7 linked regions of the Kluyveromyces lactis genome follow. The protein of the gene in region 7 purifies or fractionates together with the protein of the main gene of each other region. This does not show direct contact. Links are inferred from orthologs where the notes say so. Each region holds a gene or a part of one and is shown on either strand. Other genes may lie near its edges. The genes, in order: STI1, CPR6, SGT2, GPH1, ALD4, PDB1 and HSP104.

Region 1 (3,375 bases), on a different chromosome or scaffold from region 7:
CAGCAATATGTTTCAAGTTAATCTTTTCTGGCGTCTCAGTTCTGTTAATATTTTTTTTTGGTTAGTATCGTTGCAATTTAGCCGCCGAAACTTGGAAATATAGAATAAGGTAAAACATACATATGTAATTCGTGAGCCAACGTCTGAAATTTCTTCTCTAATTCCTGGTAAGATACCTTAAGGGCAGCGAGTCGCTGCTGTTTACGATTTAAACGATCCTCAACGCCCATTATGTTACTCTTTGCCCTTTTTCTGTGTATATAGTTCCTCATCTGTAGATTTCAATGTTGTTTGTAGAAGATAAATATCAGAAAATGATATGGAGAAATTAATAATGGAAACATAATTTGCATTAATACATAAAGCCCATCAGACAATGCTGATAGAATAATGGTATAGATATATATCTGGAAGAGAATTAAATGCTAAACATAGGCGTGTATATATACTAATTCATGTTGAAGTTTCAGGTCGAGTAATATGACTGACTGTCTGTAGAACTAGCGAGTCTTGATTATACCAGCGGCGATCAAGGTTTGAATCTTCTTGAAGACGTCTGGGTTTCTCATGTGTTCCTGTAAAGCAGCAGGATTTTGCTGAGCTTGTGAGAGTATAGATTGCATGACAGGGTCTTGTAAAATTGATGCAACTTCTGGATCCTTGGTAGCTCTAGCATACGCTTCCTCTGGAGTTTCATTGGCGTTTGCAGGTTCGAATCTAGCTTGGGAGGCCTTGATGTATAATTGGTCAATTTCTCTAGTGTTTGCACCACTGTTGACCTCTGCATCTTTGGTTCTTGCACTATCAAGTGTTTCGATGGCACCAGCATAGTCTTTGATAGCAATTTGACCGGTGGCCTTTCTAATGTATGCTCTGACAAAGTTTGGATCCTTCTCGATGGCTTTGTCACAGTCTCTAATGGCGTCAGCGAATGACATCAACTTAGATAGAGCTGCAGCTCTGTTAGAGTAACCTCTGGCATCGTTTGGATTTCTTTTGATCATTTCAGTGTATGCTTCGACAGCCTTTGGCCAGTCAGCCTTAGTGAAGTATTCCTTACCTTGTAATCTAGCTTCTTCTGCCTTTTCAGGGTCCATGTAAGATTCTGCTTCCTTTTGCTTGAGTTCCTTTTCTGTGTTTCTTAATTTCGTTAAGATATCTGGGGTACGATGTTCAGTTAGAGATTTTTCATAGTAGTCGATAGCCTTCTTTAAATCGCCAAGCTTGTGGTAAGAGTTACCCATACGAGCGAAAGATTTTGAAATGACTTTGTAATCAGCTCTGAGTTCTCTACCTTGTTCCACAGCCTTTGTTAGAGTTTCGATGGCTGCCTCGTAATCACCTTTTTCATATTCTGCTGCAGCACGGTTGTTTAGATACGTGATGTCATTATGAGTTTCCCAAGCTTCATTGTATTTTTCAATAGCTTCATCGAATTTTCTTTGTTTGTAAAGCTTGTTACCTTCAGCTTTTGCAGCTTCGGCCTTGGATTTATCATCGTCAACTTCCATTGGTTCAGGTTCAGGCTTTTTAGTTTCAACCTTTGGTTCAGCTTTTGGTTCAGCCTTTGGTTCAGCCTTTGGTTCACTTTTAGTCGCTGAGGCAGCTTCCTTGGCCGCTGGTTCCTCCTTTGGAATGGAGTTGGATTCGTTTGGGTCCATTGATAAATCGATACCCATCAAAGCGGCAAGAACAGTCATCAATCTAGGATCGGACAACATTTCTTGACCCATAGCTTGTGGATTCTGTTGGAACTGTAAAATCTTAGCGACAAATTGAGGATCTTTCATAAACTCGGCGGTTTTCGGATTCTTCTTCAACTTTTCAATCATCATTGGGTCCTTGAACATGTTTCCTAAACCCAAATCCGGTTGCGCAGTTCTTTGTTGTTGAGTTTGTTGCACTTGCGATAACCCATCTTGTGCGGCTTTGTTAGCACTATCCAACTCCAAAGCCTTCTTATAGCTTTGTTCAGCCTCATCCAGGTCACCCAAACCGTAGTGCGCAGCACCTAGTCTGTTATAACCTTTAGCCCACGATGGATTGATCTTTACACATTCGTTAGCATCGTCCAACGCCTTCACAAAATCCTTATTAGAAGCGTAACATGCAGAACGGTTAGAGAACAAAACATGGTTTGGCTGTTCTGAAACTTCAATAGCCTTAGTAAACAATTCAATTGCCTTGGCATAATCCTTGGAGGCAAATGCCTGGTTACCTTCTTGTTTGAATTGATCAGCACTCATCTCGTTTGTAAAATCCCTAGATTTTTTTCTTTGTTTCTTGACGCTAGTACCAATAAGACGAAACGAATAACACTGTTTCAGTTAGACAATTAGCAACTGTTCCTAGGTTGATATTCGACGCGTTATCTGAACTTATTGGCCCAAATTCACCATTCGATCTTATCAAAACTCCCTCTTTTTATATTAGTTGGATGTCAATTGTTCAAAGATTGTTAGGGCAGAGCAGTATTTTTTTTCGAGAACGTTCTTGACATGATGTTACCCGGATCTCGTGATAACACACATGTTGTATAACCCAAAAACAGAGGCCTGACATATCCATATAACGAGAAATTCTGTGCTCATTACTCATTGCTTCTCGTTTCAATTATTGACTACCGTATGAATTTCAATTTAGCGCTGAACATTAACCCTGGTAGTATCCTTTTCACCACATTTTTGTTTGTTTCCTATCTATATTTTGTCATTATTATTCTGACATTGATGAAAATTTAATATGTTCCTAATCTGGAGGTTAGCTCATCGCGAACAAAGATTAGTGATTTAAGAAGGACCTTAAGGCCTATATCTGAACATTTCTTAGGCGTTATTAAGCGGGATTTGGAAATATGACTGCTACTGATTTTGAAAGAAAAACTGATTTGTTTTTAGAGTGGTTACCCACAGTTGGAATCAAATTGTCTAAGAATGTCAAAATTGTCGATTCGAGAGATGAGCATCAAGGTAGATCTATGATCTGCATTAACGACGTGAAGGAGGGAGAGAAGCTGTTTTCGGTACCTGAGACAGCTTCATTGAATATTATCACCGGTTCTTTGGGTAAACTGGATGAAAGCTATTTAGGAATTTTGCTGAGTAAGGTTGAACATTGGCATGGTTTGATTTTAACCATCTTATACGAGTGGAAATACCTTGGCGAGAAGTCGAAATGGTGGCCATACTTTCAGGTACTACCAGATCAGTTTGATACGTTGATTTATTGGGATAAGGAAGATTTGGATAAATTGAAGCCCTCTTTGGTGCTGGACCGTTTGGGTGAACAACAATCCAAGGATATGTACGTCAAAGTTCTGGAGTTGATGAAAACATTTAATGTTGCCGATAAGATTGGAGAAGTAACTTATGATGA
Region 2 (2,985 bases), about 1.2 Mb from region 7:
GATAGAAAACACTAACAATCTTCAAATATGCTGTTTATTTAACGTAACGTAACGCACTGAAACGACAAAGAAGTAGCTAATGTGGTAGCCAAAAGATCCTAGAGGGGTACAGAGTTTGGTGTTTGGAGTGGGGAGGTCCAAAATGCCGGTGTATGAGCGGTGACTTTTCTCCTTGAATGAGCTGTTGCATGTCAAGCATTGTTTTTGGCCATTGTTTTCTTTATTCTTTGCCACTTGAACAAAGTTGAAAATTTTTGGATGTCGTTTAGTACGCAATACGTATGAAATGATAGGGATCTGCTATGCATTCGAGAATAGCGGAACGTACTTATGTCCGTCATCGCAAGAAGCATACTATTTAACTGATGGTTAATTACTTGAATATTTCCATCTGATTTTACTTTGATAGGTGATAAGGATTTTGAATAAGATGTGAGGAAATATATAGTCAGTACTAAGACACGTATCCATTTTATTTTGTTTTATAAGAGGAATCGAAATTAGGAAAACATTTTGGATAATGACTTCTTCTGTTTAGCAATCAACTCCTTTTTGGCTTTCTTGGCGTCTTGTAAAGCCTTTATAATTGCAGTATCATGTGGTTGGTATGTAGTAGCCAATTCGAGGTCTGTCACGGCCATTTCTGCGTTTTTTGTGTAGTAATAAGCTAAACCACGGCGATACAATGCCTTGGCCTTGGATTTATCGTCTGTGTTGTCAGCATGAAGGGCTTCAGTGGCGGCGCTAAGTGTTCTACTGTAATTTTTACTCTTGAGAGACACCAAAGCGATGTTCAAGAATAAGGATACCCTTAATGCGTCAATTTTTTTAACATCCTCCTCTGGTAAATCTTGAGGGAAGTACTGCTTAAGCATTTGACTACTTTTTTCATATTTCACAAGGGCTACTTCAAAATTTTTCTCCTTGAATTGTTTAGTACCGATCTCTTTTACTGCTTCTACAGCGTTCAAGACACTATTGACGTCGTTGGGATCAACCTTCGAATCGTCTGTTATATTTTCTTCATAATTGTCACCATACGCATCAGTCGGAGTCGCTTCTGCATCTGCAGGAACAGTATAATCGGATGGTAACACACCACAATCCTCAATTTTAACCTCTTTGGCCGGCTTATCAGCTTCATCTGTAGCATTATTTTCTATAGTTCTGACTAACCTTTTGCCCTGGATCACTTCACCGAAAACAACATGCTTACCATCTAAGTGTGGAGTTGGAACGCATGTTATGAAACATTGAGATCCATTGGTATTCGCACCAGCGTTTGCCATAGACAACAAGAATGGCTTATCATGCTTCAAAGTAAAATTCTCATCTTCAAATTTCTCTCCGTAAATCGATTCACCACCAGTGCCGTTGAAGTTAGTGAAATCTCCAAATTGACACATGAAAGACTTGATAACTCTGTGGAAGATCGAGCCCTTGTAGCTCAATGGTATATCCGGTTTGGATTTGGCAAATCCCGAGTTACCTTCACAGAGTTTTAAGAAATTCTCCGCCGTCTTTGGAACAACATCAGAATACAACTCGAAAACAATCCGACCAGCAGGTTTGCCCCCAATCGAAATATCGAAAAATGTCTTAGGTCTTGTTTCACTCATATTCAAATTCAATGAGCTAACTCGTATGTGTACTTTTTTCTCCACGTAGGTAGAAATAATGCAGGGTTAGTTTGCTTCTTCAAAATAACAACCGCTTTGCCGTAACCTACCTTTAAGATCAATGATACAAGCTGGGTTTGTCAAGAGAGGTTACTAATGGACTTTACTCAATTTATACTTCTTTTTCAGCCGTTCTCATTGTACTTTTGTTGTGGTTTTTTCAAGGCTAGATCGATAAAAGATGGAAAGCTTCGAATTTGCTAGAAAACCTTTAAAAATATATCAATACATGAACGAACCGTAAACACAGTGATAAATGAATATCTGAAGCGCCTGAACTAATTACTTTCAGGATTAGGTCTTAACTTCTTCATATAAACTTCATTACTGTTATCTGCTTCAGAGCCAGATCCCTCATCTAAACCATCGGCTTCGAGACCAGATTCAGACTCGGACCCTGTTTCTGAATCGTTAGTTTCGTGATCTTGCCAAACCGATGAATTATATGATGAGTCTTTAATATCCATAATGTCATTCAGAACACTTTTATAAGACACTGAACCACCATCTGGTAGCGAACTATGTAGAACTGATTTTTCGTTGCTCAAGTTTCGTAAATGGCCATTATCTTCTATGACTTCTCCAGTTTGTAAATCTATTACATCACCTTGATTATCTATACTTTCATATTTTTGTATGATCTGGGACCATACGCGTTTCATATTCTCGTCTGCTTTCTTATGACGCTCCATAACCTCTTCGTCTGACAATTTAGGAATTAATCGATTCTCTTTAGACATGATGTAAACCACACCATCTCGAGTAATTTGTTTTAGATTCTCTTCTTTCTTTGGCTCCTCTTCGCCTAGCAAATCCCTTAATGCACCTGTCAATCTTCGAAGATTAGCCTTCTTCTTACTATTTGATGGTCTTTTAATCATCAATAAAGCACTATTGCTGTAATTCTACTTGGAAACTTCACCTATGGTCCGGGAACTGGTTAAATTTCGTTATGTTCTGGTGTAAATGTTGTATTGAAACGATTATTCATTATCCTTAACTAAAATATGTCAATTTAAATGTTGCGCTGCGTAGACTAAAAATATTCAGATGGGTATTCGCATATACAATTAAATGGGTCTATATACAATATGTGGAGTATTTCGACAAAGCTTCACAGTGAAGGATCTTTTTACACCTGTAAATGCAAATCTCAATGTTCTTTTGCATCGACTGTCCCCACTCTCTGGTCATTACCCTTGGATTGCCAACAATCTTTGAACAGTTTCATTTCACCAAGACACTGTCTCCAATCATTAGTCTCTGCATGGCAAAGTTGTAAAGCTAGATTCTCTACGTAACAGCC
Region 3 (2,797 bases), on a different chromosome or scaffold from region 7:
ACTTGGAATATCTAGAGCACTCTGTTGTCACTTTACTTAATAACTTTGAGTCTCTTCTCGCAAAGACAACTTTATGGTGGAAACATTTTGGTGAATTAATGGAACTGAAGAAAGAGTGGAAGAAAAATTTCCCAAATGACAAGGCGCCTCCTTCTTCAGCAAACAGAAATTTTATAGATACCTACATTGAAGGTAAAAGGTCTAAATTTAGGAATAAGTTATCCAATCAACTGAAAATGAGCTCTTTGAACCTTAAGAAAATTGGCGGTGAAATCAAAACAACACATGAATCGATCGCAGTGGGGATAAATCTATTCATCGAATTCAAAGAGCAGTTTTACCACGATCATATCGTTAAATCCATAGTTGATCAAAGAATCAGGGAAAATAAACAAATCATGCAACAATTGATTGATACCATGAAAGGGCATGTTTAACTAGTCATATATAGATCAAATATATACAGTCAAAAAGGACAAGCAAAAGTTTGGGTATACTGGTTATTGCTGGCTGCCGTTGCCGCCACCAAACATGTTTTTGGCCATGTCTCTAATAGATGGGTCATTCATCATTTGACTCAAATCTGGCATGCCGCCACCAGATGAGAATTGGTTGGCCATTTGCTTCATTGCTGGATTGGACATCATATCCTGCATTAGACCTGGATTTTGCATCATCTTTTCAGCGGCTTGCATAACTTGAGGGTTGTTTAGCAGTGCTCCTAAACCACCGCCTAGACCGCCACCACCTAACAAGCTTGAAAGATCTGGTAAGCCACCAGCGCCTGCACCAGGACCTTCAGTCGCAGATTTGTCAGAAACATCTTCAGAAGAAGCGCTGGTAGAGCTCTTCTCTAAGTTCATTGAGGTTTCTACCTTCTTCTTGGCAGTTTCGTAATCTCTTTTCATAACGTCAGTAGCTTTTTCCCCTTCGATATCTAGGACCTTCTTGTAAGCATCTAAAGCTTCTTCAGGCTTATTCAAAGCATACTTCGCAAATCCAAGTCTAGAAAAACCCTTAGAATATGTAGGATCAACTTCAATAGCTTGCTCGGCGTCCTTAACGGCCTGTTCGTACTGCTTCAAAGAAGAATAAGCTGCAGCCCTGTTCGAGTAGTAAACAGCGTTAGATGGAGAAACTTCGATAGCAGCAGTGTATTTTTCAATAGCCTCATCAAATTTCTTAGCAGCCATGGCCTTGTTACCCTGTAGCTTTAATTCTTCAGCCTTGGCCTTAGCTGCTGCATCTTCAACTGGAATATGAACCTTCACTGGTTCACCAGAAACGCCTCCAGAAGAGGGAGCTGAGGCTAATAGTTCAGGTAATTTCTTGCCATTAAAAGGACCAGAGATTAAAGAATCAGTCTCATCTCTTTCAAATTGGAAGGCCTCAGTGATACAGTCGATGGCAACATTCAACGAATCAACATAGTCTTCGTTTACTGAAGAAGACGATGATGACAAAAAGTCAACAATCAAAGCAGCAATTTCCTTATTAGATAGGGACATTCGGATTTTCTAAACTTTTGACAGTGCTTTAAGATGAAATAAGGATCACAAACCGCTGTATACGATAAGATGAAGCAGTAACAAAGGACGAGTCAATGATAACTCTTCTTTGAAAGTACATAAAATCCAGGCAACTTGTCATTTAAGCACTATTATAATAAACTTTTTCCTGAATGTGAATGGCGAAAAAATGATAAGTACGGAAAAACCTTCGGTTAGAGAAGGCAACAGAAGACGAAAGATTCACAGAGACACGTCAATTTCACATCGTTAGCATTTTTAAGCTGACTCGTGCCGTCTTAATTGAGAAGTAGTGATATTTGATAGAAGCTACTAATAGTTTGGAACCATCAACCATGGAAAGGAAGTTCAAAGAGTTGCTGGCTCCTTGAAAGAAGGAAAAAGTTAATCAAAAACAAAATCTTCCCCGCCAGGACTCGAACCTGGAATCTTCTGGTTTCAGAAGTAGCTAACATCGTAGCCAGACGCCGTGACCATTGGGCCACGAGGAATAAGATTTCGTGACGGTTACTACTTTTCGTTCTATATAACAGCTACAACAGATCATATGATACTTTTAAAGTAATATTCAGACTTTACCTATTTAGTGAGTATGCCGTTACACAAATACGGTGCATCCAGCATGGAGAGTTTTACTATATTGAATTTCATTACGAAGAATTGTTTTTCTCATTTACGAGTCTTATACTGGTGCTTTTTGTCTTTGTTTATTTTTGATCGAAACTGACATTCGATATATGAATACTAATTAAAGTGTAAGTAGAATCCTAAATGATTAAACAGAGGAGTGAAATATATATCCCGGTTTTGCTCTTGCAAGGTACGCCCCGTATCATTACTGCTATTATAAATTTTAACATCTATAAATCTTGCAAAGTGCTGTTTCTCATTTCGAATAATTTATAATTGTTCCATATCCAAAATGTCACAAAACATGAGAAGCCCAAGGAACAATTGGCAAGCACCCATAAATCAGGGTATTTTGATGGCGGGGAGACGTAATAGTCTAGAAAATGAATAATCCCCATTGCAATATATGAGCCAACAATGATTAATCTCCATATTAGGCTCTTGGGTAGTAAACTTGCCCGTCTATAATCAACATCTATATCACTGATGGATGGCCCTGGTGTCAAAAATTTTGGGAGGAAGCGTGGTGTGACGAAACTGAAGTTACCGATCAACCAATTGCTAAACATGAACATGACTCCATATTGCAATACTAGATTGTCCTTTTTCAGTAATGGCCAGAGTGTAAACAATGCCAC
Region 4 (3,957 bases), about 730 kb from region 7:
TGGTATTTACAACAGAAAGAAAACGACATCAACACCGAAGCAGAATATTGGCAAGAAAGGAAATTGGCATTCAAAGTCATCAAAAGATTGGTAAAGGACAGGGTCTTGATGCAAATACATGGTCAAAACGACGATCTATCTGCCGATGTCGAATCCTCAAATGCCAAGACAGTGTATGTGATACATCCGAACTGTAGTGTTCTAGATGAAATCACCCCTAACCCACCTCAATGAAAACTTACTAACTAGACTAATTCAACTAAATTGACCATTTGCACTATCTTTGAAATTTGTAACCATAAATAGATATTTCACTTAATTCACATTTACATCTCTACTTTCACATTCACTTTCACATCTGTGCCTTGCTTGAATTCTCAAGAGAACGCCGATCACGTTGCAAACTACGCTAATTGTATAAGAGAAACCAGTTCACCTTTTGACGAGGAATGTCACTCTTCGTCACGTTGTAACCATAAGCAATTATCCCGTCGCCCCTTAAGCTTTGTAATTAACGTACAAAACTACATTTTCTGAAAGCGTGGGGAAACAATAGAGAACATATTGCATTAAGAGGCCGGAATAAAAGGTTTAGTACGGAGATTAACATGTGCATAGAGGATTTTCGTTCTAACTTTTAAACGATGGAACATAGATCAAGTAACATAGTAATTGGACCTCATAACTTGACAACAGGGATAAACTATATTACTTGATATCACTTGTCGCACATGGATTCAACAATCGGTCTCTGATAGATTAAGGGTTGCGTCTTTGTCTGTATTCGAAAACGAATTAAATGTAGTTATAGGTAAATAGTTAGTTATATCTAGAGAAATACTCGTACATCCATAGTCAGGCCATCCACCAAAATAGTTTCTTTTCAGTTTTTTTTGTTTTTCCGCTTTGCATTTAAATGCCAATTGAACCATTGAAAAGGGATGTCTTAAAGGAAATGAAAGAAAGGGGAGCCTTAACCACCTTGAATGAAGAATTGTGAAAGTTTCAGATACAATTGTTACAATTGTTCAAGGCCAACCTATCAAATATAATAGCAGTTAATTGATTGACTATTTTAACTTGAAAGGAAGCTATATATATTTTTAAGGGCCTTGCAAGCGGTTTTTTAGACTAAGAATAAGAAAAGATAAGCCAAGATGGGTTCCGGTACTGCTAGAAGACCTAGCTTGAGCACTTCCACATCCAATGACATGATGGTTGACGAGCCTCATGGTGTGCCTCGTCTTTCCCGTCGTTTGACTGGGTTTTTGCCTCAGGAAATTAAGAGTATTAATACTATGATTCCTTTGCAGAGTAGAGAAATTTGGAAAAAACATGGGGTTAAGAAGTTTGAAACCCCAGACGAATTTCAGTCCAAATTCATTCAACACGTTGAAACGACATTGGCTCGTTCTTTGTACAATTGTGATGATTTAGCTGCATATCAAGCCACTTCTCAAAGTGTCCGTGACAACTTGGTCATTGACTGGAACAAAAGTCAGCAGAGACAAACAGCGCGTGGCTCGAAGAGGGTTTACTACTTGTCGTTGGAATTTTTAATGGGTAGAGCCTTGGATAACGCTTTGATTAACTCACAAGATGGTTCTGAGGAAAGTGGTGTTGAGAAAAGAGAAAAAATTAAGGGCGCCATTGATGAGTTGGGTTTCAAGCTAGAAGATTTGTTGGAGCAAGAACCGGATGCTGCTCTTGGTAATGGTGGTCTAGGTCGTCTTGCTGCATGCTTCATTGACTCAATGGCAACAGGAGACTACCCGGCATGGGGTTATGGTTTGCGTTACCAGTACGGTATCTTTGCTCAAAAGATTATCGATGGTTACCAAGTGGAAACCCCAGATTATTGGTTAAACTTTGCCAATCCATGGGAAATTGAGAGAAGTGAAATTCAAGTGCCAATTAACTTCTACGGTTACGTTGATAGGTCAGATAACAATGGGGATGGCTCTACATTGTGTGCAAGTAAATGGATTGGAGGTGAAAGAGTCATTGCTGTTCCATATGACATGCCAATTCCTGGGTTCAAGACCGAAAATGTTAACAACTTGAGAATGTGGACTGCTAGACCAACCACTGAATTCGATTTTGCCAAGTTTAACAGTGGTGATTACAAGAATTCTGTTGAACAACAGCAACGTGCTGAATCCATCACTGCTGTTTTGTACCCTAACGATAACTTCCAAGAGGGTAAGGAATTGAGATTGAAACAGCAATATTTCTGGTGTGCCGCATCTTTGCATGACATTGTTAGAAGATTTAAGAAGGCTAAACACTCCTGGGAAGATTTTCCAAATCAAGTTGCAATCCAATTGAACGACACTCATCCTACATTGGCAATTGTTGAATTGCAAAGAATCCTTGTCGATTTGGAACATTTGGATTGGCACAAAGCATGGGACATTGTTACCAAAACCTTTGCATACACTAACCATACAGTCATGCAAGAAGCGTTGGAAAAATGGCCTATCGGTCTATTCGGACATTTGTTACCAAGACACTTGGAAATCATCTACGATATCAATTGGTTCTTTTTGAAACACGTCGAAAGCAAGTTCCCAAGGGACGTTGATCTTTTGAGTAGAGTTTCCATTATCGAGGAAGCCTCTCAGGAAAGACAAATCAGAATGGCTTTCTTAGCCATTGTTGGTTCTCATAAGGTTAATGGTGTTGCTGAATTACACTCAGAATTGATTAAGACTACTATCTTCCAAGATTTCGTCAAGATTTATGGGCCAGGTAAATTCACCAACGTTACCAACGGTATCACACCAAGAAGATGGTTGAAACAAGCTAATCCAAAACTTGGTGAATTGATCAGTAAGGCTATTGGTGATCCTCAAGATGACTATTTGTTGAACATGTCAAAGCTAACAGAGTTGGCAAAATTTGCTGAAGACGAAGACTTCCAAAGTCAGTGGAACGACGTCAAGCAATTCAACAAGCAAAGACTTGCAGATTTGATCGAAAAATTATACGATGGAGAAGATGTCATCCAGAGAGATAATATCAGAAACACCTTGTTTGATATTCAAGTGAAACGTATTCATGAATACAAACGTCAACAAATGAACATTTTCGGATGTATCTACAGATATTTGAGTATTAAAAAGTTGTTATCGCAAGGCGTCCCAATTTCAGAAGTTGAGAAGAAGTACCCAAGAAAGGTATCCATCTTTGGTGGTAAGAGTGCTCCAGGTTACTACATGGCCAAGTTGATCATAAAGTTAATCAACAGTGTCAGTGATGTTGTTAACCATGACAAAGAGATCAATAACATCTTTAAAGTTGTATTCATCCCTGATTACAACGTTTCTAAAGCAGAAATTATTATTCCAGCCAGTGACTTAAGTGAACATATTTCGACTGCAGGTACTGAAGCCTCTGGTACATCCAATATGAAATTCGTTATGAACGGTGGTTTAATCATCGGTACTGTTGACGGTGCCAATGTCGAAATCACAAGAGAAATCGGAGAAGATAACATCTTCTTGTTTGGTAACTTGGCAGAAAACGTGGAAGAGTTAAGATATCAACACCAATACCACGGTGAACCATTACCACAAGAATTGGAGGAAGTGTTCCAAGTCATCGAACAAGGCACCTTTGATGGTGACTTCAAGCCATTAGTTGAATCTATCAGACATCATGGTGACTACTATTTGGTGAGCGACGATTTTAAATCATACTTGCAAACCCAATCTTTGGTTGACGAAGTGTACCACAAGAACAAGAAAGAATGGTTGAAGAAATCCATTTTGAGTGTTGCCAACGTCGGATTCTTCTCCAGTGACCGTTGTATTCAAGAATACGCCGACGAAATATGGAACGTCGAACCCTTGACCAACTGATTTTCCTCCTATTTTTTAGAACCTCCTCAAATCCCCGCCAGAGGTTTACCCTTATAATACACTACTAAACAATACTTGACTTTATCACTATATA
Region 5 (3,250 bases), about 1.6 Mb from region 7:
GCTTAGAGCTACCTAGATAATGTTGTGTCAGTAATGCAATATTCAAAACAGAGAGGTCCAGAGACCGGAAATAATGAACCGAATATACGCAAAAAAGAAGTTTCTCCGATCTCGATATTGCAATCTGCCGAAAAAAAAAAAAGGGCGTCAATGATTAGCTAACATAAGCCAGAAATACAGAAACACTGGCAGTGATTGAAGTTTTGATGTAATCTGTTGTATTGTGTTTCTTTTAGACCCCTCTTTCAACTACCAAGTATCGTGCCTAAGTTATTGTGTCGGGAGGGGAAACCGGAACGGAGGGGCATATTCATTAGCTAATATAGTAAACGAGTAGAAATATACTGGAGATTTGTTTTCTTAGCAAAAACTGGTGTTTGAAATTCACGGAGTATATTGAAGAACAGGCGCGGGCAGTGCAGCACATCTAATAGTGTTGCTATAAACCAAGACAACGAGATACTGCCCTTCGTTCGGAAGCACAACTCAAGTGACCAGTCACACAATTCTAGTTTATCCACCAGTTGTTCTCCCGAAAAGAAAAAAATGAAACGATATTCAGAGTGTTTCTGCTCTCTTGCGCTTATTTACCGGTATTTACATTAGGCCACAATCCAATTTGCAACATTTGGCTAGTGATGGGACAGAGGTTTTCCTTTTATGACCATACTGTAAAGGGTTTGTATCCACGTAGTATCAACATACGTTAAGCGGGGTCATTCGAGTTCTCAACATTTTCCCACTTTGCTTCTCCATTTTTATGAGCTACGGCTTTTCTGTTGTTTTAATCACCCTTAATTCAGACACTTCCTTCACTTTAGAATTGTATATATACATATATATATATATATATAAGCTATATGATTTCCAGTTTATTCACTCAGGACGCTATTTCAGGAGATTTGGACTTCAGCAAGAAAAATTAACTAATTACAGATAATCGACCTAGTTGATATTCCTCTAACGCTATATTTTGTACCGCGTTGACAATATACATTATTTAAGGTTCAGATATCATTGACAAGTTTCCCAAAAAAAAAAAAGGGCAACGAATACTGACACATTGAAAAAAAGAATCGGAATTTCAACTAGACGCTTTGAGTTCAAAATTTTAACCATAATACCATATTCGTCTATTAAGAAAACCAGTGCGATTCAAAAGGCAAAACTTTTCAAATAAAATGTTATTACGTACTACCACTGCTGGTACTAGACTAGCTTTCAAGTCACAAACTGCGGCATTCGCACATGCTTTACGTTACTATTCGCATTTACCATTGAAGGTCAAGGTTGATTTGCCAAATGGTATTTCATACGAACAACCAACTGGTTTGTTCATCAATAACCAATTTGTTCCTTCCAAGCAAGGGAAGACTTTTGAAGTGTTGAGTCCTTCAACCGAAGAAGAAATTACTCATGTTTACGAAGGTCGGGAGGAAGACGTGGATGCGGCTGTTGAGGCTGCAGACAAAGCTTTCAAGTCCGGTGTCTGGTCTAAGGTTGACCCACTAGTCAGATCTCAGTGTTTGAGCAAGTTAGCTGATTACATTGAAAAGGATTTGGATACCATTGCTTCTATCGAATCTCTGGACAATGGTAAAGCTATCTCATCTGCTAAAGGTGATGTTCAACTAGTTGTTAACTACCTAAGATCAGCTGCTGGCTACGCTGATAAGGTGGATGGTAGAGTCATTGATACTGGTTCGACTCATTTCTCTTACACAGTTAGAGAACCATTAGGTGTCTGTGGTCAAATTATCCCATGGAACTTCCCATTGTTGATGTGGGCTTGGAAGATTGCTCCAGCTCTTGCTACCGGTAATACTGTTGTCTTGAAGACCGCTGAATCCACACCTTTGTCTGCACTATACGTTTCTCAATACATTCCAAAAGCGGGTATCCCAGACGGTGTTGTGAACATCGTTTCTGGTTTCGGTAAAATTGTTGGTGAGGCTATTACAACTCATCCAAAGATTAAGAAGGTTGCATTCACTGGTTCCACTGCTACTGGTCGTCATATCTACCAAAATGCCGGTGTCAATTTGAAGAAGGTCACATTGGAGCTAGGTGGTAAGTCACCAAACGTTGTTTTCGCTGATGCAAACTTGAAATCCGCTGTTCAAAACTCTTTGTTGGGTATCTACTATAACTCCGGTGAAGTCTGCTGTGCTGGTTCCAGGTTGTATGTTGAAGAATCTATTTATGACGATTTCTTGAAGGAAATTAAGTCTGCTTCAGAAGCTCTAAAGGTTGGTGATCCTTTCGATGCAGAAACTTTCCAGGGTGCTCAAACTTCGCAAAATCAATTGGACAAGATCTTGAAATATGTGGAGATTGGTAAGAATGAAGGTGCTACTTTAATTACTGGTGGTGAAAGAATTGGTGACAAGGGTTACTTTGTTAGACCAACTATTTTCGCTGATGTTGAAGAAAGCATGAGAATCGTTAAGGAAGAAATCTTCGGCCCTGTTGTCACTGTCACCAAGTTTAAAACCATTGATGAATTGATTGAAAAGGCCAACGACTCTGAATATGGATTGGCTGCAGGAATTCACACATCTAACATCAATACTGCCATCCAGGTTTCAAACAGATTGAATGCTGGTACCGTCTGGATTAACACATACAACGACTTCCACCACTGTGTTCCGTTCGGTGGTTTCAATGCTTCTGGTATTGGTAGAGAAATGGGTTCTGAAGCTCTAGACAATTACACTCAAGTCAAGGCTGTCCGTGTTAAATTGGAGTAAATTGGCTGATATGTAGTTACAGGCACAAGGTCTGCACATGAGATCATGATATTTGTATCATAAAATATAACTTACGGAAATACCTCCAAAAAGAAGATGCATATCACGCTCTTCAGCTCTTCTTATTACCGATTTTCGCGAGTAAGTTGATTTTCTGGAGAATTCTGACAATCTTTATATATCCTGATTATTTATACCGATTTGGTTAGCTGTGTTTCATACTGTGAGATGCAGACCATTATTTACTATTGGCGTATATTATGATTTAATGAAAATGCTAAATGAAAATATTCTTTGATTAATGTCGTCTTTGCTGCCTTAGTACAATTTGGTAGTGCGACTCATCTGATATCTACATTTAGGCTCTATCCAAACAAAAACCAATGCATTCTGCAATTTTTCTAAATCGGAAAATAAATTACGTATATTGTCTATTAATGAAATAATAAAGGGTTATCTGTCGGAATTATTATCAACCTAGAAGATTGTACGTGTTATGA
Region 6 (2,996 bases), about 780 kb from region 7:
AAAGTAGCGCACAGCGTCTTGTTTTAACGGCAGAATATATATATACAGTTTAATCTCATAACAACCGCAGTTGTCCCCAAATACCTTATTGTTCCCATCTCTAGTGATGAAAACTTTTCTTCATCATTACTGATGGGCAACATACATGAAAAAAAATTGTAAAATCTCTAATTCATCAACTTACCTTTACCAGCGAATAATTCAACGACAGGCAACTCTATCTCATTCTATTTCCTAATCCAAAATCGTGTATTAACTGAACTTGGTATTCATATCTTAATAATATAATATGTTTTAATTTTTCTATTTTTCTTTGAAGTTTGTAAATCAATTCATAACTTAGTTTATTGCAACAAAGGAGTACAATCATAAGAAAAACCGAATGCGAATGAACCATCATGCACTATTCCTTATCCAATGAATATTCTCTTTTGTTTTGATAAAAAACGGAGGCCAACAGAGGTGCATAACTGTCAGTAAAGAAAGAGTGCACGGTGCAATCATTCAATAGACAAAACACTTTTAGCAGCTCTGACAATGGTGTCAGGGTCTGGGAAAGCAAAATCTTCTAATTCCTTAGCATAAGGAGTTGGGACTTCAGCACCAGTAACTCTTTGAATTGGAGCATCCAAATAATCGAAGGCTTCAGATTCCATAATTTGAGCGATAATTTCAGCACCAACACCGAAAGCTGGGAAAGTAGATTCAACAGTAATCAAGTGGTTGGTCTTCTTGACAGTGTTGATGATAGCTTCAACATCCAAAGGTCTAATGGCTCTCAAATTGATAACTTCAGCAGAAACACCGTATTGCTTAGACAAAATTTCAGCAGCTTCCAAAGAGAATTGAACATTTCTGGTGTAACTGATGATAGAGATATCAGAACCTTCTCTTTCAACCTTTGCTTTGTATGGCAAAGTGAAATCAGTAGACAGAGATTCTTCAGAGACTTCGAAAGATTGACCGTATAACAATTCGTTTTCCAAGAAAACAACTGGGTTTGGATCACGAATGGCAGCCTTCAACAAACCTCTAGCATCTTCAGCAGAGTATGGAACCAAAACCTTCATACCTGGAACAGAACCGTACCAAGCAGAATAATCTTGGGAATGTTGAGCAGCAACACCGACAGCAGAACCGTTTGGACCTCTGAAAACGATTTGACATTTCTGAGTACCACCGGACATATAGTAAGTCTTAGCAGCGGAGTTAATGACTTGATCCATAGCTTGCATGGAGAAGTTGAAAGACATGAATTCAACAATTGGCTTTAAACCCTTCAAAGCGGCACCAACAGCCAAACCAGTGAAACCCATTTCGGTAATTGGAGTGTCAACAACTCTTCTTTCACCGAAACGGTCCAATAAACCCTTGGTAACCTTGTAAGCACCATTATATTGAGCAACTTCTTCACCAATGATGAAAACATCATCATCACGGTCCATTTCTTCGGCCATGGCAGAATTCAAAGCTTCTCTGACGGTCATGGTCTTGGTAGAAGCAAATCTCATGGATTGAACCACAGAAGGAACAGCCCTCTTAAAAGTGTTAGAAAGCATCATCATGTTGTATTAGTATTTAATAATTTTGCCAGTTGAAAGTTTTTATCAATCGGGTACTAACGTTTCGTTTCACTACGTGTAATTCTTCTTAACCTTTAAAATTGTCTTCGCTTGTAAAACGTTTACTGAACCAAAGGAGAATGAATATTATACTAGAGTTTGATATCTTTTCGTTTTTCTTTTTCTTTTAAAGGTAGAAGAAATAATGTTTTGATAATTCGAAAACAAAAACGAAGCAATAAACAAACAGACAGAAGTTGTTGAGATGCGTTTGTTATAAGACAGACAAATTAGATAGTCAATTGTCAATTCTATAACTAAAAAGGATCCTTTTCAACTGAATTCTTTTTTATAATTTCTTGAATTTGATATTATTTTTTCACTGAAAAAAAATAAAAACTCGTTCTTTGACCTATTCAACAAATAGACGTTAGCCTCAGGGAACCGCTAATTGAGTGGGATTGGATGAGAATCTGTAGTAAGATTTATAAAACCTTTAAGAAATTATAAAGTAAGATTAAACAAGTATTGAATTACAGATCCATAAAGTATAAAAAATGAAACACAAAACAGAAGATAATACAATGAATAAAGGAATAACGACTCTAAAGAACTAACAACTTCCCTGGTGCTGAAATGACCCTCTTATATTTCTTTATATATTGGTGAAATCAAAATCCTTTAAAGGAATATATATGCGCTGCATAAGCTTTTTTTTATTCGTTTCGACTGTACGGGTCGAGCGATTCGCGGGTTGCTATACCGTTGTATTTATCTCATAGATATGCTAGCGCATAGTAAGTGCGCCATCACAAATCTGCTGAAAAAACCTGTTTTGGCGACGGGAGAATACGACATAGCAGATGAGATTGATGGAGGCGATGAGGTGTATAGGTGTTCAAACGACGGAAAAGGGTGGGGGCACGTGATGCGTGGGAATGATGCGGACATTGTCAATTTTTCTGTTATTCCGGTGTGATACCTAAATAATCCGGGTAACGTAAAGCGCTGACAGATGTCAGCGCCTTAGAATGTTGTTAGATGGTATTATTGTGTATATCATCATTGAACGACAGAGGTATAAGGTTCGTCAGTTGCTGAGTAACGCTGAAATTTCAATGGATACGGCGTCACCACTTTTACTGTGGGCAGAACAGTTATGTCTTCGGGTACCCTTGACCCAATTGTTCTTCCTGGCGGTTGTTGGGCACTTGCTAGTGTTAACCGTACTTTGTTTCTCCCCATGGTTGTCGTGTATAGAATACCGCATTCGTAATTGGTAGGTTTTTTTAGTGGGCTGGGACCCCATGCAGCTTGGGAAAGGTTATGACTGGTGAGTAGTATCCAATCTGGTCGCTTGAGTGTATTTTCATCTGTGAATTGTATATAATATTTGGTATGGCTTGGAACCATATGCCTATTCTTATCGGACTG
Region 7 (4,188 bases):
GACAAACCAAAGGAAAAAGATCCAAAGGACGACACATCAAAGGACGAAAAGTCTGAGGAAGAGAAGCCAAAAGAAGATAAAAAAACCAAGAAAGAGAAGAAAAAGGCTAAGAAGGAAGAAGAGAAAAAGCAAAAGGAAGATAAGAAGAACAAAAAACATAGTGACAAGAAGAACAAAAAACATGATGATGATGATGAATACTCCGAAGCTGAACCTTCAGTGACTGAAGAAAAACGTGTTGAGACGAGTTTCACCAAGAAACCACATCACACTACCTCTGCTGCATTGAAGGAAGGTTACAAAGAGGTAAAGAACGAAACGGACACTGAATGGAAAACAGATGACGGTCACTACAATGGCACTGAGACTGATCATTCTACTGCCCTAAATGATGCTTATAATTGGAAGAGAACTTCGTCCATAGGCTCCATTATTGCTTTCATGATGTCCTTGTTAATTTGATTCAAAAACGAAAGATCATCACGCACATGAGCTGGAATATCTAGTTATACATATGTAGATCTTACAAGGAAAATAATAATATGTTGCTATCCAAAACTTGACACAATGCCAATGATATTGTCTTAATTAACGTGAATTACAAAACTGACGCCTGACATCGAAACAGAAGTGCGTTCCAAAAACCTAGCGTTAAATTTCAAAATCTATCACGTGATGGTGATCCACTTGTTCCAGTTTTTTTCTTCGGTTTTCTTTGTGGACATGCACTTTCGAGAGTCTTCCAGAAAAATCCGGTAATGTTCTAGCTATCACGGTTCCGGACTCTAGCTTAGAGCAGAGTGAATTTTAAGTAGCTTTACAATCCCCACACAGCTTCTACATTGCCGTAAGCAACATGCTGGGATAGCTGGTTGTTTGATCTAGTATTCAACTAACAATAAGGACGTACTTACAATTTTCTATTTTACGTAGCCATGAACGTCAGTCCCAACGGTAATTTAAAAGCTTAACCTTGAGTGAGTGAATTATTCGAGAATGTACTGGTTTATACTGGAAAAGTAATGTAGTTGTTAGAGCTTTGTTTGTCTGTGAATTGGGCAATACTAAAGCTGGGACTGGTACCGGGAGATAGGGGTTGAGGTATATTTTGCTTTGCTATTAGTTTTCTTAATAAGGTGATTTTAGGGTATCTTTTGATAGATGCTTATAGAAAGAATAGGTGAAAAAAAAAGTTTATAGAATATAAGCGTAGTGAAGAGGTATATAAAGGGAGACCATCCGAAGAATCATTTGTTGAGTGCTTCCTGCTTTGGAATTCAATTACATCAATTGTATCAATAGTGGTCTATCTGATAGAAATAAACAACAATTGTCAGGATCATCAAACGCATCAACAGTTTATTGTCTAGAAAGAAGATATTACTACAATGAACGACGAAACACAATTTACAAATAAGGCCAACGAAATTATCCGTTTGGCCCAGAAATTGGCTCAGGATCACAGACATGCTCAGTTACAACCAATTCACTTACTTGCTGCATTTGTTGAGCCAAACGAGGATGGTTCTGTTGGATTCTTACAAAACTTGGTGGAATTAGCGAAATATGATTATGAACCTTTGAAAAGGGCCATCAACAGAAACCTAGTCAGGACTCCATCTCAGACGCCCGCACCATTAGAAATTCAGCCAAGTTATGCTTTCGGGCAGGTCTTGAAAGATACTTCAGAAATTAGGAAACAGCAAAAAGATTCATTCGTCGGTCAAGATCATATATTGACTGCTTTGTTCAAAGATGCAACAACTCAAAGCATTTTTAAGGAGTGTTCCATTGACATAGAATCTGTGAAGCAGCAGATGCTCGAATTGAGAGGCAATCAACGAATTGATTCAAGAGACGCTGATACAAATGAAAAATGGGAATATTTGAAGAAGTATGCGATCGATATGACTGAACAGGCTAGAGCAGGTAAGTTGGATCCTGTTATCGGTAGAGAAGAAGAAATTAGAACTGCCATCACTGTTCTTGCTAGAAGAATCAAGTCAAATCCATGTTTGATCGGTGAGCCAGGTATTGGTAAGACTGCCATTGTAGAAGGTGTTGCTCAAAGAATTATCGACGATGATGTTCCACAAATTCTACAGGGTTGCAAATTATTTTCTTTGGATCTTGCTGCATTGACGGCTGGTGCCAAATATAAAGGTGATTTCGAGGAAAGATTAAAAGGTGTCTTGAAAGAAATCGAGGAATCAAAGACTTTAATTATATTATTCATCGATGAGATTCATATGTTGATGGGCCAAGGTGTAGATGATTCTGCCAATGCTGCTAATATTTTGAAACCAGCCTTATCTCGTGGTGGCTTGAAGGTAATTGGTGCCACTACCACTAACGAATATAGATCTTTGGTCGAGAAGGATGGTGCTTTCGAAAGAAGATTCCAGAAGATTGATGTCCCTGAACCAACGACAAGGCAAACGGTAGCTATTTTGAGAGGTTTACAGCCAAAGTATGAAATACATCATGGTGTTAGAATTCTAGATAGTGCCCTAGTGTCTGCAGCTCAACTAGCTAAGAGGTACTTGCCATACAGAAGATTACCTGATTCTGCTATTGACTTGGTTGATATTTCATGTGCCGGTGTCGCTGTTGCTCGTGATTCTAAGCCCGAAGAATTAGACAATAAAGAGCGCGAATTGCATTTACTACAGGTTGAAATCAAGGCATTAGAAAGAGATGAAGAAACGGATCCAACGACAAAAGAAAGGCTACAACAAGCCAGACAAAAGGAAGCTTCATTAATTGAGGAATTGGAACCAATGAGACAGCGTTACCAACAGGAAGTGGATTCTCATGAACAACTAAGACAAGCCAAAAAGAAGCTCGATGAATTGGAAAACAAATGCATGGATGCCGAACGTCGTTACGATAATGCTACCGCAGCTGATTTGAAATACTTTGCTATTCCGGATATCAAGAAACGTATTGAGGAATTGGAACAAAAAGTTGCTGAAGAAGAATCCAGGGAAGGTTCTGAAACAATGGTGAAGAACGTGGTTAACAGCGAGGTTATTGCCGAGACTGCCGCTAGAATGACCGGTATTCCAGTGAATAAACTAACTGAATCTGAAAACACAAAGTTGATCCATATGGAACGTGAGTTATCGCAACAAGTTGTGGGTCAAATGGAGGCTGTGAAAGCCGTTTCTAACGCTGTCAGACTTTCTAGATCTGGTTTGTCTAACCCTAATCAACCGGCATCTTTCTTATTCCTAGGTTTATCTGGTTCCGGTAAGACTGAATTAGCTAAGAAAGTCGCATCCTTCTTGTTTAATGATGAAAAAGCTATGGTCAGAATCGATTGTTCAGAATTGATGGAGAAACATTCAGTTTCGAAATTATTAGGTACTACTGCCGGTTACATTGGTTACCAAGAAGGTGGTTTCTTAACTAATCAATTACAGAGAAGACCATACAGTGTGTTGTTATTTGATGAAGTCGAAAAGGCCCACCCTGATGTCTTGACCGTTCTTTTGCAAATGTTAGATGACGGCAGAATCACTAGTGGTCAAGGTAAGACAATTGACTGTTCGAACTGTATTGTAATTATGACTTCTAATTTGGGTGCCCAATTTATCAATGCTCAGACTGGATCAAAGGTTACTGAGGGTTCCAAAGAGTTGGTGATGAGTGCCGTTAAAGCACATTTCAGACCAGAATTCTTGAATAGAATCTCAAGTATCGTGGTATTCAACAAGCTTTCTCACAAGGCCATTCACAAAATTGTTGATATCAGAATCAAAGACTTGGAGAAGCAATTTGCGGATAATGATAAGAATTACAAGATCAACGTTTCACCACCAGCTCGGGATTTCTTGACCAAGAATGGTTACTCGGAGGATATGGGTGCTAGGCCATTGAACAGATTAATTCAAACCGAGATTTTGAACCCAATGGCAATCCATATCTTGAAGGGTGAGATCAAAGACAAAGAAATTGTCAATGTAGAAGTGGGTGCCGATGGATCTCATTTAGAAGTTTTACCAAATCACCCAGCTTCATCAGAAATTGGTGATGAAGACATGGATTTGGACTTGGACGACGATGACGACTTAGACCTAGACTGATCTAAAATGAATTACAAAAAGAAAACATACAAACAAACTCACTCAGTAATAAAATTTCAGTTCAACAGTACCATCATATATAGTGTAAAGTACATATTTT

What was found.
Region 1: the proteins of HSP104 (region 7) and STI1 purify together in Saccharomyces cerevisiae (affinity purification with mass spectrometry; 5 studies listed by BioGRID, with this or other methods). This does not show direct contact. The link is inferred for Kluyveromyces lactis from reciprocal best matches to the Saccharomyces cerevisiae genes HSP104 and STI1.
Region 2: the proteins of HSP104 (region 7) and CPR6 purify together in Saccharomyces cerevisiae (affinity purification with mass spectrometry; 3 studies listed by BioGRID). This does not show direct contact. The link is inferred for Kluyveromyces lactis from reciprocal best matches to the Saccharomyces cerevisiae genes HSP104 and CPR6.
Region 3: the proteins of HSP104 (region 7) and SGT2 purify together in Saccharomyces cerevisiae (affinity purification with mass spectrometry; 5 studies listed by BioGRID, with this or other methods). This does not show direct contact. The link is inferred for Kluyveromyces lactis from reciprocal best matches to the Saccharomyces cerevisiae genes HSP104 and SGT2.
Region 4: the proteins of HSP104 (region 7) and GPH1 purify together in Saccharomyces cerevisiae (affinity purification with mass spectrometry, with the first as the bait; 3 studies listed by BioGRID). This does not show direct contact. The link is inferred for Kluyveromyces lactis from reciprocal best matches to the Saccharomyces cerevisiae genes HSP104 and GPH1.
Region 5: the proteins of HSP104 (region 7) and ALD4 purify together in Saccharomyces cerevisiae (affinity purification with mass spectrometry, with the first as the bait; 3 studies listed by BioGRID). This does not show direct contact. The link is inferred for Kluyveromyces lactis from reciprocal best matches to the Saccharomyces cerevisiae genes HSP104 and ALD4.
Region 6: the proteins of HSP104 (region 7) and PDB1 purify together in Saccharomyces cerevisiae (affinity purification with mass spectrometry, with the first as the bait; 3 studies listed by BioGRID). This does not show direct contact. The link is inferred for Kluyveromyces lactis from reciprocal best matches to the Saccharomyces cerevisiae genes HSP104 and PDB1.

Annotation. Positions count from the first base shown.
Region 1 is NC_006037.1:636,046-639,420, forward strand, and holds STI1 (Hsp90 cochaperone STI1), read right to left. Parts: upstream 2,247-3,375; coding exon 501-2,246; downstream 1-500. Other genes in the region: SAE3 (Sae3p), read right to left, coding at 1-41, 121-230; RKM4 (ribosomal lysine N-methyltransferase), read left to right, coding at 2,855-3,375. UniProt on the Saccharomyces cerevisiae protein: May play a role in mediating the heat shock response of some HSP70 genes. It is required for optimal growth of yeast cells at both low and high temperature.
Region 2 is NC_006042.1:502,135-505,119, forward strand, and holds CPR6 (peptidylprolyl isomerase CPR6), read right to left. Parts: upstream 1,620-2,985; coding exon 501-1,619; downstream 1-500. Other genes in the region: SCM3 (Scm3p), read right to left, coding at 1,958-2,560; COA4 (Coa4p), read right to left, coding at 2,833-2,985. UniProt on the Saccharomyces cerevisiae protein: PPIases accelerate the folding of proteins. It catalyzes the cis-trans isomerization of proline imidic peptide bonds in oligopeptides.
Region 3 is NC_006040.1:104,347-107,143, forward strand, and holds SGT2 (Sgt2p), read right to left. Parts: upstream 1,509-2,797; coding exon 501-1,508; downstream 1-500. Other genes in the region: KLLA0_D01133g (uncharacterized protein), read left to right, coding at 1-437; ALG6 (dolichyl-P-Glc:Man(9)GlcNAc(2)-PP-dolichol alpha-1,3-glucosyltransferase), read right to left, coding at 2,390-2,797. UniProt on the Saccharomyces cerevisiae protein: Co-chaperone that binds to the molecular chaperone Hsp70 (SSA1 and SSA2). Regulates Hsp70 ATPase activity. Required for recovery from heat shock.
Region 4 is NC_006042.1:931,895-935,851, reverse strand, and holds GPH1 (glycogen phosphorylase), read left to right. Parts: upstream 1-1,157; coding exon 1,158-3,863; downstream 3,864-3,957. Other genes in the region: MCM DNA helicase complex subunit MCM6, read left to right, coding at 1-234. UniProt on the Saccharomyces cerevisiae protein: Phosphorylase is an important allosteric enzyme in carbohydrate metabolism. Enzymes from different sources differ in their regulatory mechanisms and in their natural substrates. However, all known phosphorylases share catalytic and structural properties.
Region 5 is NC_006042.1:29,838-33,087, forward strand, and holds ALD4 (aldehyde dehydrogenase (NADP(+)) ALD4), read left to right. Parts: upstream 1-1,181; coding exon 1,182-2,750; downstream 2,751-3,250.
Region 6 is NC_006042.1:882,278-885,273, forward strand, and holds PDB1 (pyruvate dehydrogenase (acetyl-transferring) subunit E1 beta), read right to left. Parts: upstream 1,566-2,996; coding exon 501-1,565; downstream 1-500. Other genes in the region: TDP1 (tyrosyl-DNA phosphodiesterase 1), read right to left, coding at 2,625-2,996. UniProt on the Saccharomyces cerevisiae protein: The pyruvate dehydrogenase complex catalyzes the overall conversion of pyruvate to acetyl-CoA and CO(2).
Region 7 is NC_006042.1:1,666,894-1,671,081, forward strand, and holds HSP104 (chaperone ATPase HSP104), read left to right. Parts: upstream 1-1,388; coding exon 1,389-4,088; downstream 4,089-4,188. UniProt on the Saccharomyces cerevisiae protein: Required, in concert with Hsp40 (YDJ1) and Hsp70 (SSA1) and small Hsps (HSP26), for the dissociation, resolubilization and refolding of aggregates of damaged proteins after heat or other environmental stresses.